Linked DNA regions of Cricetulus griseus. The protein of the gene in region 3 interacts with the protein of the main gene of each other region in a biochemical or structural test. Links are inferred from orthologs where the notes say so. Each region holds a gene or a part of one and is shown on either strand. Other genes may lie near its edges.

Region 1 (3,039 bases), on a different chromosome or scaffold from region 3:
AAATACTTAAAATAAAAGTCCTCCTTGTAGGGAATGTGGGGCATCATCAAAATTCCTTTCTTTTTTTCCTGTAGCCAAGAAAGGACCTGATGGATTAGCCCTGCCCAACAACTACTGTGACTTCTGCCTGGGAGACTCAAAAATCAACAAGAAGACAGGGCAGCCTGAGGAGCTAGTGTCCTGTTCTGACTGTGGCCGCTCAGGTACTTCCATTCTCAAAGAGCAGGCTGCACTCAGTGCCCAGGACACTCTTGGCCTGGTTACTTCAGTGCTGTCAGGCAGCCTCCCATCCCCATTCCCCACGGGTTTCCAGCCCCCGTTTGACTCGCCTCCCCCACAGGGCACCCGTCCTGCCTGCAGTTCACCCCCGTGATGATGGCGGCTGTGAAGACCTACCGCTGGCAGTGCATCGAGTGCAAGTGCTGCAACCTCTGCGGCACTTCGGAGAATGACGTGCGTGCGCCCTCTCAGCCTGCCTGGCTCTCCCCTCAGCTCCCCCAAAGCAAGCTTTCTGTCAGCACAAGCAAGGGCCTCCCTCCTTCCACGCCCCTCCTTAGCCTCCCCTGGGGAACTTTACACTTGTTTAAAAAAATCTGTTTCTTGAGCACCAGCAGTCGGTGTTTTTGGCTCTCAGGTCACTAAGTAAGACAGAGAAGACCATGCTTTCATCAAATTTGTGTACTTGGGTAACAGAGTTTTGTATGATATACCTTGATGAGCCAAAGAGTTAACTGGTCTACAAAGCAAGTTCCAAGACAGGCTCCAAAGCTACACAGTGAGACCCTGTCTCAAAAAACAAACAAAAAAAAAGAGTTAACTTGATACTGATAGAGGTTTCTAGTTAGATTTGCTTTTGGAGGAAATGAAGTTGGTGTTGGAGTTTTGATAACACAAAGAGCCAGTCCAAAAAGGTACAAAATGAGTGTATTTCCAAAGAGGTATAGCCAGTGCAGAGACCTTGAGATTGGCAAGCCCGCTGTAACAAGGCCATTGCTACCCACTAGATCTTTCATGTGGGGGAAGGTGAATCGGAGAGGTGGATGTTGTTTGATCTATGGGTCTTGAGTCCTTTTGTGAGCAGTGAGGAATCCTGGAGATTGACCCCAGGACCTGGTGAACACTAGGCATGAGCTTTGCTGCTAAGCTCCACCCCTGTGCTTGGACCTTGGGGATGTTGACAGAGGCCATTTATTTGGGGGTGGTTGTTGTGTGATATGTTCTGTCTCATATTTTCAGAAGGTAACTGGCAGCTTTGTAGAGAAGAGATTGTAGGGAAATAGTAGGCTTTGTGATCAGTTAGAATCTGGATAGGTTGAGATGGGCAGGTCTTACTTCTTTATTTTAATTACTTAACTTCATGTGCATTGTTGTTTTGCCTGCATGTATGTCTGTGTAAGGGTATCAGGTCTCATGGAACTGGAGTTACAGACAGTTGTGAGCTGCCATGTGGGTGCTGGGAATTAAACCCAGGGCCTCTGGAAGAACAGTCAGTGTTCTTCACTGCTGTGCCATCTTTCCAGCCCCTCTACATCTCTTCTTAGCAGCTACTAGTCCCTCATAAAAGTAGCAGCAGTGTCACAACTTGGGTACATAAGCCTTTGGATCCTTGTTCTTTCTTTCTCCTTACCTTCTGCAGGACCAGCTGCTCTTCTGTGATGACTGTGACCGTGGCTACCACATGTACTGTCTCACCCCATCCATGTCGGAGCCTCCTGAAGGTAAGTGGCCCACCCAAAATACTTTATCCCAGAAGGATCCATAACACCCAAGTAAAACATGACTTGTTATAGGTCTTAATTGTGTGGTTTCAGCATTTTTTGATTTCTTAAGACAGGGTTTCTCTGTATAACAGCCCTGACTGCCCTGAAACTCACTTTGTAGACCAGGTTGACCTTGAACTCACAGAGATCCGCCTGTATCTGCCTCCCAAGTGCTGGGATCAAAGGCATGCATCACCACTGCCTGGCCCAGAATTTTTTTTTCTTTAAAGACTTTATTATGTATACAACATTCTGCTTCCATGTACATCTGCACACCAGAAGAAGGCACCAGATCTTATAATGGATGGTTGTGAGCCACCATGTGGTTGCTGGGAATTGAACTCAGGACCTCTGGAAGAGCAGTCAGTGCTCTTAACCGCTGAGCCATCTCTCCAGCCCCCAGAATTTTAATTTAAAGAACTTAATGTTTGCAAGCTGTCTTCCTTTGTATAGTCCAGAAATTCAGTTGGAGCTTATCTAACATGATATTTCTTTTGTCGCTCTCCTACTCTGATGGATTGTTTCTTTCCTCTCTTCCCCATTCGGGAGGGAGTTGACCCTGGAGCTTGGGGTATTTTTTTGCATCTCTTGTGGTTCACTTAGTAATGCTCCAAGTTCATGGAAGTGCTACACCAACACCAATGGTGACATCAAGGAGTGGTTCTTTTCCACAAGTCCCTTCCAACTGTGTTTCTGTGCCTAGCTCCTTCCTCTAAGGTAGTAGTTCTCAGCCTGTGGGTCTCAATCCCCATAGGGATCACATATTGGATATCCTGCATATCGGATATTTATGTTACAGTTCGCCAAGCGATGATGGCACACGCCTTTAATTCCAGTACTCGGGAGGCAGAGGCAGGTGGATCTCTGTGAGTTTGAGACCAGCCTGGTCTACAAGAGCTAGTTCCAGGACAGCCTCCAAATCACAGAGAAACCTGTCTCGGAAAAAAAGAAAAGACAACAGATATTTATGTTACAATTCATAATAGTAGCAAAATTAACAGTTATGAAGTAGCAATGGAATTTTATGTTTGGGGGATCACTACAACATGAGGAGCTGTATTAAAGGGTCTCAGCATTAGGAAGGTTGTGAACCACTGCAAGAGACTCAAAGCTTGTCCAGGAGGGCCTAAGTACCTAGTAGCTCTGCTGTGCACAGACAGGAGCCAGCCTTCAAGTGGGAGTAGTTTACTGTTTCCAGAAGCTGACTGGTAATGTAGGTCAGACTGCAGAAAATGAGGCCACTAGCAAAACTGGTGAGTACTTTAACAATTGCAGGACC
Region 2 (3,519 bases), on a different chromosome or scaffold from region 3:
CATGGTCATTCTGCAGGTGTACACTGTGAGATCAACGTTGATGACTGCCATCCCCACCTTGACCCTGCCTCCCGAAGCCCCAAGTGCTTCAACAATGGCACCTGTGTGGACCAGGTGGGTGGCTATAGCTGCACCTGCCCACCAGGCTTCGTCGGAGAACGTTGTGAGGGTGACATCAATGAGTGTCTCTCCAACCCCTGTGACCCACGAGGCACCCAAGACTGCGTGCAGCGTGTTAATGACTTCCACTGCGAGTGCCGGGCTGGCCACACTGGTGCGTGCCTTGGGCAGGTGGGCAGGCGCCTTGGGTGGACAGGCAGTGGTGGCAGGGCTAGCTCCTTACTGTCTTCTCATCCAGGACGCCGCTGCGAGTCAGTCATCAACGGCTGCAGGGGCAAACCATGCAAGAATGGGGGTGTCTGTGCTGTGGCTTCCAACACTGCCCGCGGATTCATCTGCAGGTGCCCTGCGGTAGGTGCCCCTGGCCCTGTGCAGCTGCTAAGGTCCAGGTCTAAGGGTGCCAGAACCCCTGAATTTTACATTGGGTGGACATGTCCCACGCCCAGGGTAGATTAGCCTGAAGGCTTCTAGCCAAGGCTAGGGATCAAGCCCCATGCTTCCTCATGCCCACTCTCCCAGTTCATTCTTAAAATTTGAGTGGGCATAATACATACATACCTGTAATTCTAGTACTCTGGGGGCTGAGGCTAAAAGATTGTCCTGCATTTAAGGCTACGTTAGGCTACAGGGCAAGTCCGTGTTTAAAAAAAGTTTATTTCCTGCTATGTTGTATTGGAAACCTAGGTCCTCACACATGCTGGGCAAATGTTCTGCCCCTGAGTCCCAGCCCAGCCTCTTGTTTTTAAATAAATGTTCATCTTGAGGCAGTTTTAGGTTTGCATGAGAACTTATCAGGAGGGCCAAGTCCCCACCCTGCCTGCCATTTCCTATGGTTACCACCTTGCATGGAAGGTGTTGAGGATCACACTTATAGCTGGCACTGAGGTACAGTATTTGCTCTGGTGTTAACACTCAGAAATTCATACACATATAATGTACCAGTGTCAGCCTGGTTTTTCATGGTTCTAAAATCTAGGATTCTGCCCTCTTAGCTATCCCTCCATTTCAAAGCCTGTGGTAATCCTGACCTTTCTATGGTGAGGATGTTAAAGGGTCTTATTACTTCGGAAAGGCCATAGACACCTTTCATAGGTCATGAGATGTGGCCAGGCCTAGGATGGGGTGCATGGTGTTCCTGAACTCTAGCACCTTGCTCTAATGCACCATCCTCTCTCCACCACCACAGGGCTTTGAAGGTGCCACGTGTGAGAATGATGCCCGCACTTGTGGCAGCTTGCGCTGCCTCAATGGTGGCACATGTATCTCAGGCCCACGAAGTCCCACCTGCCTATGCTTGGGCTCCTTTACTGGCCCTGAGTGCCAGTTCCCAGCCAGCAGCCCCTGTGTGGGTAGTAACCCTTGCTACAATCAGGGCACCTGTGAGCCCACATCCGAGAGCCCTTTCTACCGCTGTCTGTGCCCTGCCAAATTCAACGGGCTGCTGTGCCACATCCTGGACTACAGCTTCACAGGTGGTGCTGGGCGCGACATTCCCCCGCCACAGATTGAGGAGGCCTGCGAGCTGCCTGAGTGCCAGGAAGATGCAGGCAACAAGGTCTGCAACCTGCAGTGCAATAATCACGCATGTGGCTGGGATGGTGGTGACTGCTCCCTCAACTTCAATGACCCTTGGAAGAACTGCACGCAGTCCTTACAGTGCTGGAAGTATTTTAGTGATGGCCACTGTGACAGCCAGTGCAACTCAGCCAGCTGCCTTTTTGATGGCTTCGACTGCCAGCGCACCGAGGGACAGTGCAAGTAAGTAAGGCTCGGTGGCTTCAGAGTCCCAGGGCTCAGCAGACAGCTGCGGGGGGAAGAACCAAACAAATACCAGGAACATGAGGCCAATGTCTATCCCTCCCCATAGGGGACACCAAGCACATTTCCTAGGTCTGGGCCAGTCAGGGTGGGTGTGAGGCCCACAAGGCTGGGATGTGACTGAGTGTGTCCTGTACCCCTCAGCCCTCTGTATGACCAGTATTGCAAGGACCACTTCAGTGACGGCCATTGTGACCAGGGCTGCAACAGTGCCGAGTGCGATTGGGATGGGCTAGACTGTGCAGACCATGTGCCTGAGCGACTGGCAGCTGGCACGTTGGTGCTGGTGGTGCTGCTCCCACCTGAGCAGCTACGCAACAACTCCTTCCACTTCCTGCGGGAGCTCAGCCACGTGCTGCACACCAATGTGGTCTTCAAGCGTGATGCAGAAGGCCAGCAGATGATCTTCCCCTACTACGGCCATGAGGAAGAGCTGCGCAAGCACCCCATCAAGCGCTCTGCAGTGGGTTGGACCACCTCTTCACTGCTTCCCAGCACCAATGGGGGGCGCCAGCGCAGGGAGCTGGACCCCATGGACATCAGAGGGTGAGTGAGCTCCATCCAGATCCAGCTTCTGTGGGCTGTTTCCTAGTGCATTCCTGGGCCCTGTTACCAGCTCAACCCTGGAGGTGAACTCTGGGGAGGTATTATTCACCCTACTTTATGGTCAAAAAGGACCTGGAATGTGGAGGCCACCTCTCTCTAGGTACCTGGCAGGGTTCACTCTTTGCCCAGCTTGTGGTTTTGAGGCTCCACTATGTATTAGGTGTTTAATCAGGACCAAGCTGGTTAAAGCCTCCAGGGTGGTCCCTGGAGCTAAATCATCCTAGACCAAGCCGGCACCTCAGTCTCTATAGCCTCCTTATCCACACTGCAGAGGAGGCGGGTGGGGAAATGCAGAAAGGCACTGTTGCTGAGCCTTGAAGGCTGAGGAGCTGAGGGTGGCAATGAGGAGGCACAAATAAGGGCATCTCATGGATGCTGCACAGAGCCACCTGGGAACAGGCAGAGAAGCACCAGCCAGGACTGATGTGGTCCTTGCAATACTGGTCACCCCCATACCCTGAATTTGTGGGTTCCAGGAGCCTGCCACCTATTCCTCTTTGAGATGCTGGGCATCTGCCTGGTGGCTCCTTGGTGTCTCTTGACCCCAGCAGTTTCTAGTCCTGGTTTCCTTGGTATGGAACCGCAGTAAAAGTTAGAAATGTGTTGTTCCCTGGAAGCTGTATTAGAATCCTGTGTCTGAGAGGCCATGACTGAGAGTGGGTGACTCGGCTGCCATGAGAGTCTCAGCTCTCTAGCATCTGAGCCTGCTGTTGTCTCCGGCCACTCCTAGGGGAGTTCTGAGGAATAACCCACAACCCGTCCCTGCACTTCTGTGGGGCACCAGGTTACTGCTCTCAAGAGTGCACTGAGTGCCTGAGGACATTCTCTTCTCTGAGGTGAAGAAAGGGGTGCTGTGGTACCTAAGGGGCAAGGCTGAAAAACATGTTGGGCAGTAGGAAGAACCCCTGCTGAGTGCTAAACACTGAGGCTGCAGGGAGACTTGTCCAGTTGCTGGGCTGTTGTTGTCAGATATGC
Region 3 (3,519 bases):
TCTCCAGAGCATGGGTTTCCTTCCTGTTAATCTAAAGAGGGTGGGTCAGCATCTGGTCTGAGTGCTCTGCAAGGTGCCCTGTACCTCCCACGTAGCGTCTTCATGCAGAAACTTGTGTGTACATTGCCCAGGCCCATGCAGTTCTGGACATTAGATGAGGCAACACTTTGTCCCCGGTTATACAGAAGCATATCCACATCCTTCTTCCACCCTTCCCAGCAGCCAGCTCAGCTGCCATATTGAAGAAGTCTGCCCCAAAATGAGGCTGTTCTTTTTGTTCTCCTGCCCTCCTTGAAGAAGCAGAATTTAAAGGAAATGGTTCCTTTGAACAGGCCTCATTGGAGTATGTGTCATAACTCCAGGCCAGACATCATCCAGAAAGAGAGAGTAACTATTTAGACATGGTGGCCACATACAGTTACTATTCCGTATTTTCCTTCCTCTGCTTCTTTAAATACCTTCTTTGAGATGCACAATGTCTGTCCATGGGACCATATCAAAGCAAGTTAGATGTACCCTCTGTGTTGAGGTCATAGTTTGCTATCCCTTGACCTTAGGAGAATGAATTTTTCAAAGACACCAGTGGCTTTCCAAGGTTATGTCTGGGGCCAGAGGGCATTTTTCTTCACGTTGACTCAGACTGGATTCAGAAGAGAATTAGCTTATAAAATAGTTGATTATTTAAAGTCATGGCAAAATCCAGTTCCCCTGAGATTGATTACTTCCCTAAGCCGTAGGCACTGAGTATTTTCCTTAAAATAGCAGGTGTTTCTAAATGGTTCCTCACGGCCCACAGACACTTGGAAATCAATCTCTTGACTCTATTATCTGTCAGTGAGACAATGCCCAATTGTGCTTTTTCTAGTCGCCCCAATCCAGAAGCACCAAAAGGAGCATTTTCAACTAAAATGGTGTGCCATGCCATGCGTGTAGGGCGAGCGAGTGAGACTCAGCTGTGGTTGTGGACATTGCCTTGCAGATAACCTCTTTCTTGAGAAGGCTCTACAGCTTGCCAAGAGGCATGCCAATGCCCTTTTCGACTATGCGATGACAGGAGACGTGAAGATGTTGCTGGCTGTGCAGCGCCATCTCACCGCGGTGCAGGATGAGAATGGGGACAGGTGAGTGAAGTCAGGGCTGCTGAAGAGCAGGCACTGTGTGGGTAGGGAGAGGAGAGACGTGGGCACACTGGCTAGAAGGGGATGCTCCCAGGAGCTGGAGTCGAAACAGTCTGCTTCTCCAGTTCTGCTCTCATCTGACAAGCCCTAAAGTATGGTGTCTCTCCAGGCAAGAAGACTCAGATGTGTGGATAGTGTGTTGATTTTGAAACCCTTCCTTTAGTTATTAAAATAATTGAGAGAATGATTGGCAGCCCTGCCAAGTCCCTGAAGCATTATCTAGTGTACCCAAGGAAGGTCCTGGTAAAGACAACAATGTCTATCAGTCCAGTAAATAAGAGGAAATGCCACTCCTTCCTTCCTAGTTACTGGCTCCTCCTCTGAGGCCTCTGTTAATATTCACTAGTTTGTGAGTGGATTGGACTCTGCCTCAGCTCCAGGCCAGGCTGCGTGGGAGTCTGACATTCCAGACACCACGCCTCCTGTCCATTCCTGAGGTTCTGTTTGCAAAGCCACTTGGCTCCCTTCTCAGCAGTTCTTAGTCCTTTCATTGAGACTTCTGAACTGATCTAGAGGCCTATAAAAATAGCCAGCGACAGCAGTCTTGAGGTTCAAGTGCTTTATCTGAAGATCCTAAAATAGCATCAACCCTGGAAGTCCCTTTCTGTGGAAACATCCCGGACTGCTGTGTGAAGTCTCAGTTTAAAAACTAAATGCATTAGGAGCGTGCCAACCTCAGGGCTTTCATACAGAGACCTTTGTCCTCGTTGCTTGTGGCATAACCAAGGATGTGGTATAACCACTGGCCTTGTTCTACAGTACAAGAGGAACCCAGACAACCTTCTCTGTGTACAGCCCTGACTAGCAGAAGGCGTCTTTGGGGGAAGCATCCAATTAACATTCAATAGCAAATAACCACGAAACAGAGCAGCTAACCAAGGCAGGACACAGGGGCTTCAGGTGGCATCTTTAAGGGCCCACTGAATTGATGACTTTGATGAGGAACAGCTGAGACAGTGGCCTTCCTTGTCCATGCAGGATACAGATACAAGCAGGCTCCCTGAGAGGCCGTGGGTGTGACAAGAGAGCACTCTGGCCTCTCATCTTCGTTCAGCTTGTCATATTGGGCTGATATCTGAGCCCCGTGACTATTAGTCATCGTAGAAAATAACAATAAAGAAAAAATATAGAATCCTCTAGCTTTGGGGGAATTCCCAGGAGGGTGTGAGGAGCTGACGGGGAGGGGGTGCACTTCTGTGAGATGCTGAGCTGCGCAGGGAAATGTTTAGGCATCTTCTGAAGCATGCCCTTTACTCAATGTGTGAACGTCACGCCTACATCACTTCTTAAACGCCTTCTGCCAGCATTCCACCCAGAGCAACAGGGAAGCCCTGGGGTGTAGGCTGGATTGTTTCTCATCAAAGTGTATATGGTTTCCTTGGCCTTAATATTGGCATGGGGGTGCGTCTAAAAAGCAAATCATGATCTTCCCTGAGTATTTCTGAAAGAATGATTTCAGGGCTAAATGACAAGACCTTGTTTAAAGATAAAAACCACTTCACATTGTTTCAGAGGAAGAGAGCTGGGCAACTTAAGTTGTTCTGAGCTGTTCTTAACTGGACTTTACTTTTGCTCAGTGTCTGTCCATGAGGGAGATTTAGGGGAGAACTACCTGGCCTGAAGGAGGACCGTTTGGTCTCCAGCCAGGGTGGGCGCCTTTGCACTGGATGTGTTGAGTCAGACAAGAACACTGCCAGAGTCAGGTAGGCTCCATCAGTGAGTGTCATAGCCTGGGATAGGCAGTGGGAGAGAAAGCATGTCACCTCAGATAAGTACATTTTGCAGATCTAAAACATAGTGAGGCCAAAGAAATCCATGAATAACAGCTGGATTCGGTCTTCATTTCCAATCATTCCTTGAAAACTTTGGTTCCTCTCCTTTGTTAACCCCTAGTTAACTACTGTCACGGTATTTCATTCCAGTGTCTTACACTTAGCCATCATCCACCTTCATGCTCAGCTTGTGAGGGATCTGCTAGAAGTCACATCTGGTCTGATCTGTGATGACATCATCAACATGAGGAATGATCTGTATCAGGTAGGCAGAAATCTCAAGGCAGTCACTGAGGAAAAAGGCATCATTTTGTAATACGTGTTTATGCTGTTTTTAGTAATGATAACAGGAAAAAAAGAAAACCTTTTTATAGGTGATATCTTTAAAGTGTCCTTAGTTGGGAATGCCATTTTCTAAATGACATTTAGAAATGGGTTTGATAGCAATAACCCCACACTGAAATCCAGCGCCCTCTGGGAAAGGCAACTCTAAGCTCTAAAACTCAGAGCTGATACAGCTTGGAAGGCGAACCTAGAAAAAAGGGTCACAGCTGTGAAGAAAATCAAGT
Region 4 (3,519 bases), on a different chromosome or scaffold from region 3:
GTTTTTAAAAAATATTAACTTTATTATATGAATATTTTGCTTGCAAACATGCCAGTGCATTATGTGTGCCAGATGTCCACAGAGGTCAGAAGGCATTGGATCCCTTGAAATTGAAGTTATAGATATTATGTGGGTGCTGGGTTCTCTTCAAGAACAATAGTGCTCTTAACTACTGAGCCATCTCTCCAGCCCCAAGGAAGAGTTTTAATGACCAACATGTGAACACAGAGAGGAGAAAGGCGTCTATGGTGTGCATTTACAAGAATCACTTAGGCTCTTAATTTTATTAAGACACGTGAATCACTAAATTCTGCCCAATTGAGTTAAATTTAAACTTGTATGAATACTGCTAGTAAGGTAGGGAGGGGGAAGACGATGCCTTGAGGTTTGTGGTAAATTTGATTATTCCAGCAAATTAGCAGCATGGAACTGGAAGGAAGAGAAGCGAAGCTCCAGTCATTCCCTATTCCCTGTAGTTCCCTATTCAGCATTCATCTAGCTAATAAGGACGTGTATGTGTGTGTATATGTGTTTGGGTAGGTATATGAGTGGGTGCTTGTGGTGGAGGTCAGAGGATTGGGTGTCTTCCTTGATTACTCTTCATGTTGTATTATGGTTCCACTGAACCTGGAGCTCTTTGATTAAGCTAGTCTGGTTGGTTAGTGAACTCGAAAGATCTGCCTTGTCTCGCTCCCTTTGCAGCACTGGGCTACCGACGTGTCACTGGGCCCAGCCCTTGCATGGGTGCTGAGGATTGAGTTCAGGATCTTATACAAACAGGCACTTTACTAAGTCATCTTAGTCACTCATAAGGATTTAATCTGTGTATTAGTCTTTATATATTTTGTATAAGTGCCCTTCCTTTACAAATTTCTCCATATTCTGCCTGGTGTGTTGAGGCACATCTTTAAGGGAGGCAAGATGCAGGCAGATCTCTGTGAGTTCATAGCCAGCCTAGTCTATGTAGTGAGTTCCAGGACTGCCAGTGCAGTAAAGAGACCCTATCTTAAAAAAAACAAAACCAAAACAAAATAATAATAAAATCCTAGGAACAATAAGGTTCTTCACTTTTAAACTTAAAATTTTATGATTAGGAAAATTTGATTTTGTTGACAATATTTTAATTTATATTTTATTTAATAAAATTGATGAAATTGTCTGCTTTGACTAGGTACTATTACCAAAGAGGTATTCTTGCAAAAGTGGAAGGTCAGCGCTTGGTGTATCAGTTTAAAGAAATGCCAAAAGATCTTATATACATAGACGATGAGGATCCAAGTTCCAGCATAGAGTCTTCGGATCCATCCTTATCTTCAACAACCACATCAAGTCGGAATCAAGCAAACCGATCAAGAGTATCTTCAAGTCCAGGAATAAAAGGAGGGGCCACTGCAGTTCTGAAACCAGGGAATTCTAAAGCTCCAAAACCCAAAGATCCTGTGGAAGCCACACAGGCATCAGAAGTTTTGAGGACAGTGCAACCCTCACAGGCCCCCTATCCTACCCAGCTCTTCCAGACTGTTCATGTAGTACAGCCAGTACAAGCTGTCTCAGAAGGAGACACAACCATAACCAGCACCATGCAGGAAGAAACAGCAAATTCTTCAGTTCAGAGTATTAGGTAAGGAAACAGTGACCATGCATATCACTATGTGATATTCTGAGCAGGGGCATTGTTTAACTGGCTCAGGATTCAGAAGGTAGAGTTCTTGGTCAATAGATTGTTCCAGGAGCAAAATTATATCAGTAGTTCTGCTTTTGTTTATTTTTATTATATATATATATATATATATATATATATATATATATATATGGGCGGGGGGGGGGGGGGGGCTTTTGTGTACCTGACTGTAGATGCCTGTGAAGGCCTGAGATATTTGGTTCCTTCAAGCTGGAGATATATACAGTTGTAAGTTGCTCAATGTGGGTGTTGGGAATTGAATTCCTGTCCTCTGCTGTAACGATAAATCTTTCTGCCAAGCCACCTGAGTTCTGCCCACCGCATTAGGGCTCCAATGATAAGTCTCCATCCACCTGAGCCCCACCACCACGTGGGCGCCTAGAATAACATACAGGGTCTTATATTAGTTTACAATGCTGCTGGCCAATTGACTAGGATTTCATATATGCTAGGTCAGTCTTCATTATCATAAATCTATATATTTTATAAGACTTATCGAGGATGCCTTCTGCTGTCATCCTCTTCCTGGAATCACATGGCAGCTCTGTAGAGGAGAGAACGGGAGGAAATGGAAGAGCAAGAGAACGACTTCCTGCTTGTCCCTGCTTATATATGAGTCTGCCTGCTATGTCACTTCCTGCCTGTATCACAAGACTTCTTTCTACTACATTTCCCAGAATCCTCCTTGACTCCCAGTCCCACCTATCTTTCTGGCTCATTGGCCGAGTAGTGCTTTATTCAACAACCAATAAGATAAACATACACAGAAGGACTTGCCTCATCACTCTGCAAGAGCAGTACCTGCTCCTAACCACTCAGTCATCTTTCTAGACCATGTTTGTTTTTGAGATGAATCTCATGTAGCCCAGGATAGCCTCAAACTGTTGCTATTGAACCTTTTTATCATCTGATTCTGTCTCTCCCAAGTGCTGTTTGCTGTTACTCTACTGATTTGTGTAGCCTAGTTAGATCACAGTCTACAAAAACCCAGCATAAATAGTTAAACCTGAGATATTTAGGATGCATTGACTACAAGAATAAATTATCACATGAGAAAATCCTGTTTTAGAATACTTCCCTATCTCAAGTATGAAGGTGGGAGTCAGTTTCTCCTCCTCAGGCGTTAGTGTGCTAGAAGTTGAAAATTCTCCCAGTCTACTTTAATCAAATCAGACTTGAAAAGGTGCTGAACATCTAATTGACCAAGAAAATCCTACCTCTAGATTGGTCTTCTGAAAAATGTAGGACTGTTCTCATTTGATTTTAGAATAAGTCAGGAAATAATGGTCCAAAATTAAATGGATATTTATAGTTCTTGTAGTTTGTCTTAGTTAGGGGTTCTAGAGCTGTGAAGGAACACCATAGCCAAAAAGCAAGTTGGGGAGGAAAGGGTTTATGCAAATCACAGAAATTATCATCAGTATCTGAGGTCTTCCTTTAAATCAATTTATAACATATGTACTCATACATTTTAAAGTTTTAATTTGATTTGGATTTCATGATAGTTCAATGAATAACAAAGTAGATTCCTGGCAAAGTGTTGCTTTCTAAGGGTCTTAGATTGTATAAGCCTTTGCTTATTTACATTTTATTTTAATCATATGAGTGTCCCTTATGCATAGACATAAGAAGGTAGCTAGGTATTTCCTCCCAAAAGTTGACTGGGAGGATAGTTGGCCTTACTGCAGATGAGCCCAAAATGAGTTCGGATCAGATTGGTGATCCTGCTGCTCATGTCTGGAATATTCTGAGCCCACAAAACAGGAGTTACCAAGCGTTGCCAAGAAAGGGACAAATCATTTCATTCTTTTAAGTGGAGTATATGTGCAGCTTGATGC

Evidence for each region.
Region 1: the proteins of Nfkb1 (region 3) and Dpf2 form a complex in vitro, tested with the Homo sapiens proteins (2 studies listed by BioGRID). The link is inferred for Cricetulus griseus from reciprocal best matches to the Homo sapiens genes NFKB1 and DPF2.
Region 2: the proteins of Nfkb1 (region 3) and Notch1 form a complex in vitro, tested with the Homo sapiens proteins (2 studies listed by BioGRID). The link is inferred for Cricetulus griseus from reciprocal best matches to the Homo sapiens genes NFKB1 and NOTCH1.
Region 4: the proteins of Nfkb1 (region 3) and Elf1 form a complex in vitro, tested with the Homo sapiens proteins (2 studies listed by BioGRID). The link is inferred for Cricetulus griseus from reciprocal best matches to the Homo sapiens genes NFKB1 and ELF1.

What each region holds. Positions count from the first base shown.
Region 1 is NC_048596.1:53,441,776-53,444,814, forward strand, and holds part of Dpf2 (zinc finger protein ubi-d4), read left to right. Parts: intron 1-74; coding exon 75-203; intron 204-340; coding exon 341-453; intron 454-1,636; coding exon 1,637-1,718; intron 1,719-3,039. UniProt on the Homo sapiens protein: Plays an active role in transcriptional regulation by binding modified histones H3 and H4. Is a negative regulator of myeloid differentiation of hematopoietic progenitor cells. Might also have a role in the development and maturation of lymphoid cells.
Region 2 is NC_048599.1:137,857,450-137,860,968, reverse strand, and holds part of Notch1 (neurogenic locus notch homolog protein 1), read left to right. Parts: intron 1-16; coding exon 17-274; intron 275-358; coding exon 359-471; intron 472-1,306; coding exon 1,307-1,878; intron 1,879-2,082; coding exon 2,083-2,484; intron 2,485-3,519. UniProt on the Homo sapiens protein: Functions as a receptor for membrane-bound ligands Jagged-1 (JAG1), Jagged-2 (JAG2) and Delta-1 (DLL1) to regulate cell-fate determination.
Region 3 is NW_023276806.1:23,889,204-23,892,722, forward strand, and holds part of Nfkb1 (nuclear factor NF-kappa-B p105 subunit), read left to right. Parts: intron 1-979; coding exon 980-1,121; intron 1,122-3,100; coding exon 3,101-3,215; intron 3,216-3,519.
Region 4 is NW_023276807.1:233,925,992-233,929,510, forward strand, and holds part of Elf1 (ETS-related transcription factor Elf-1), read left to right. Parts: intron 1-1,171; coding exon 1,172-1,621; intron 1,622-3,519.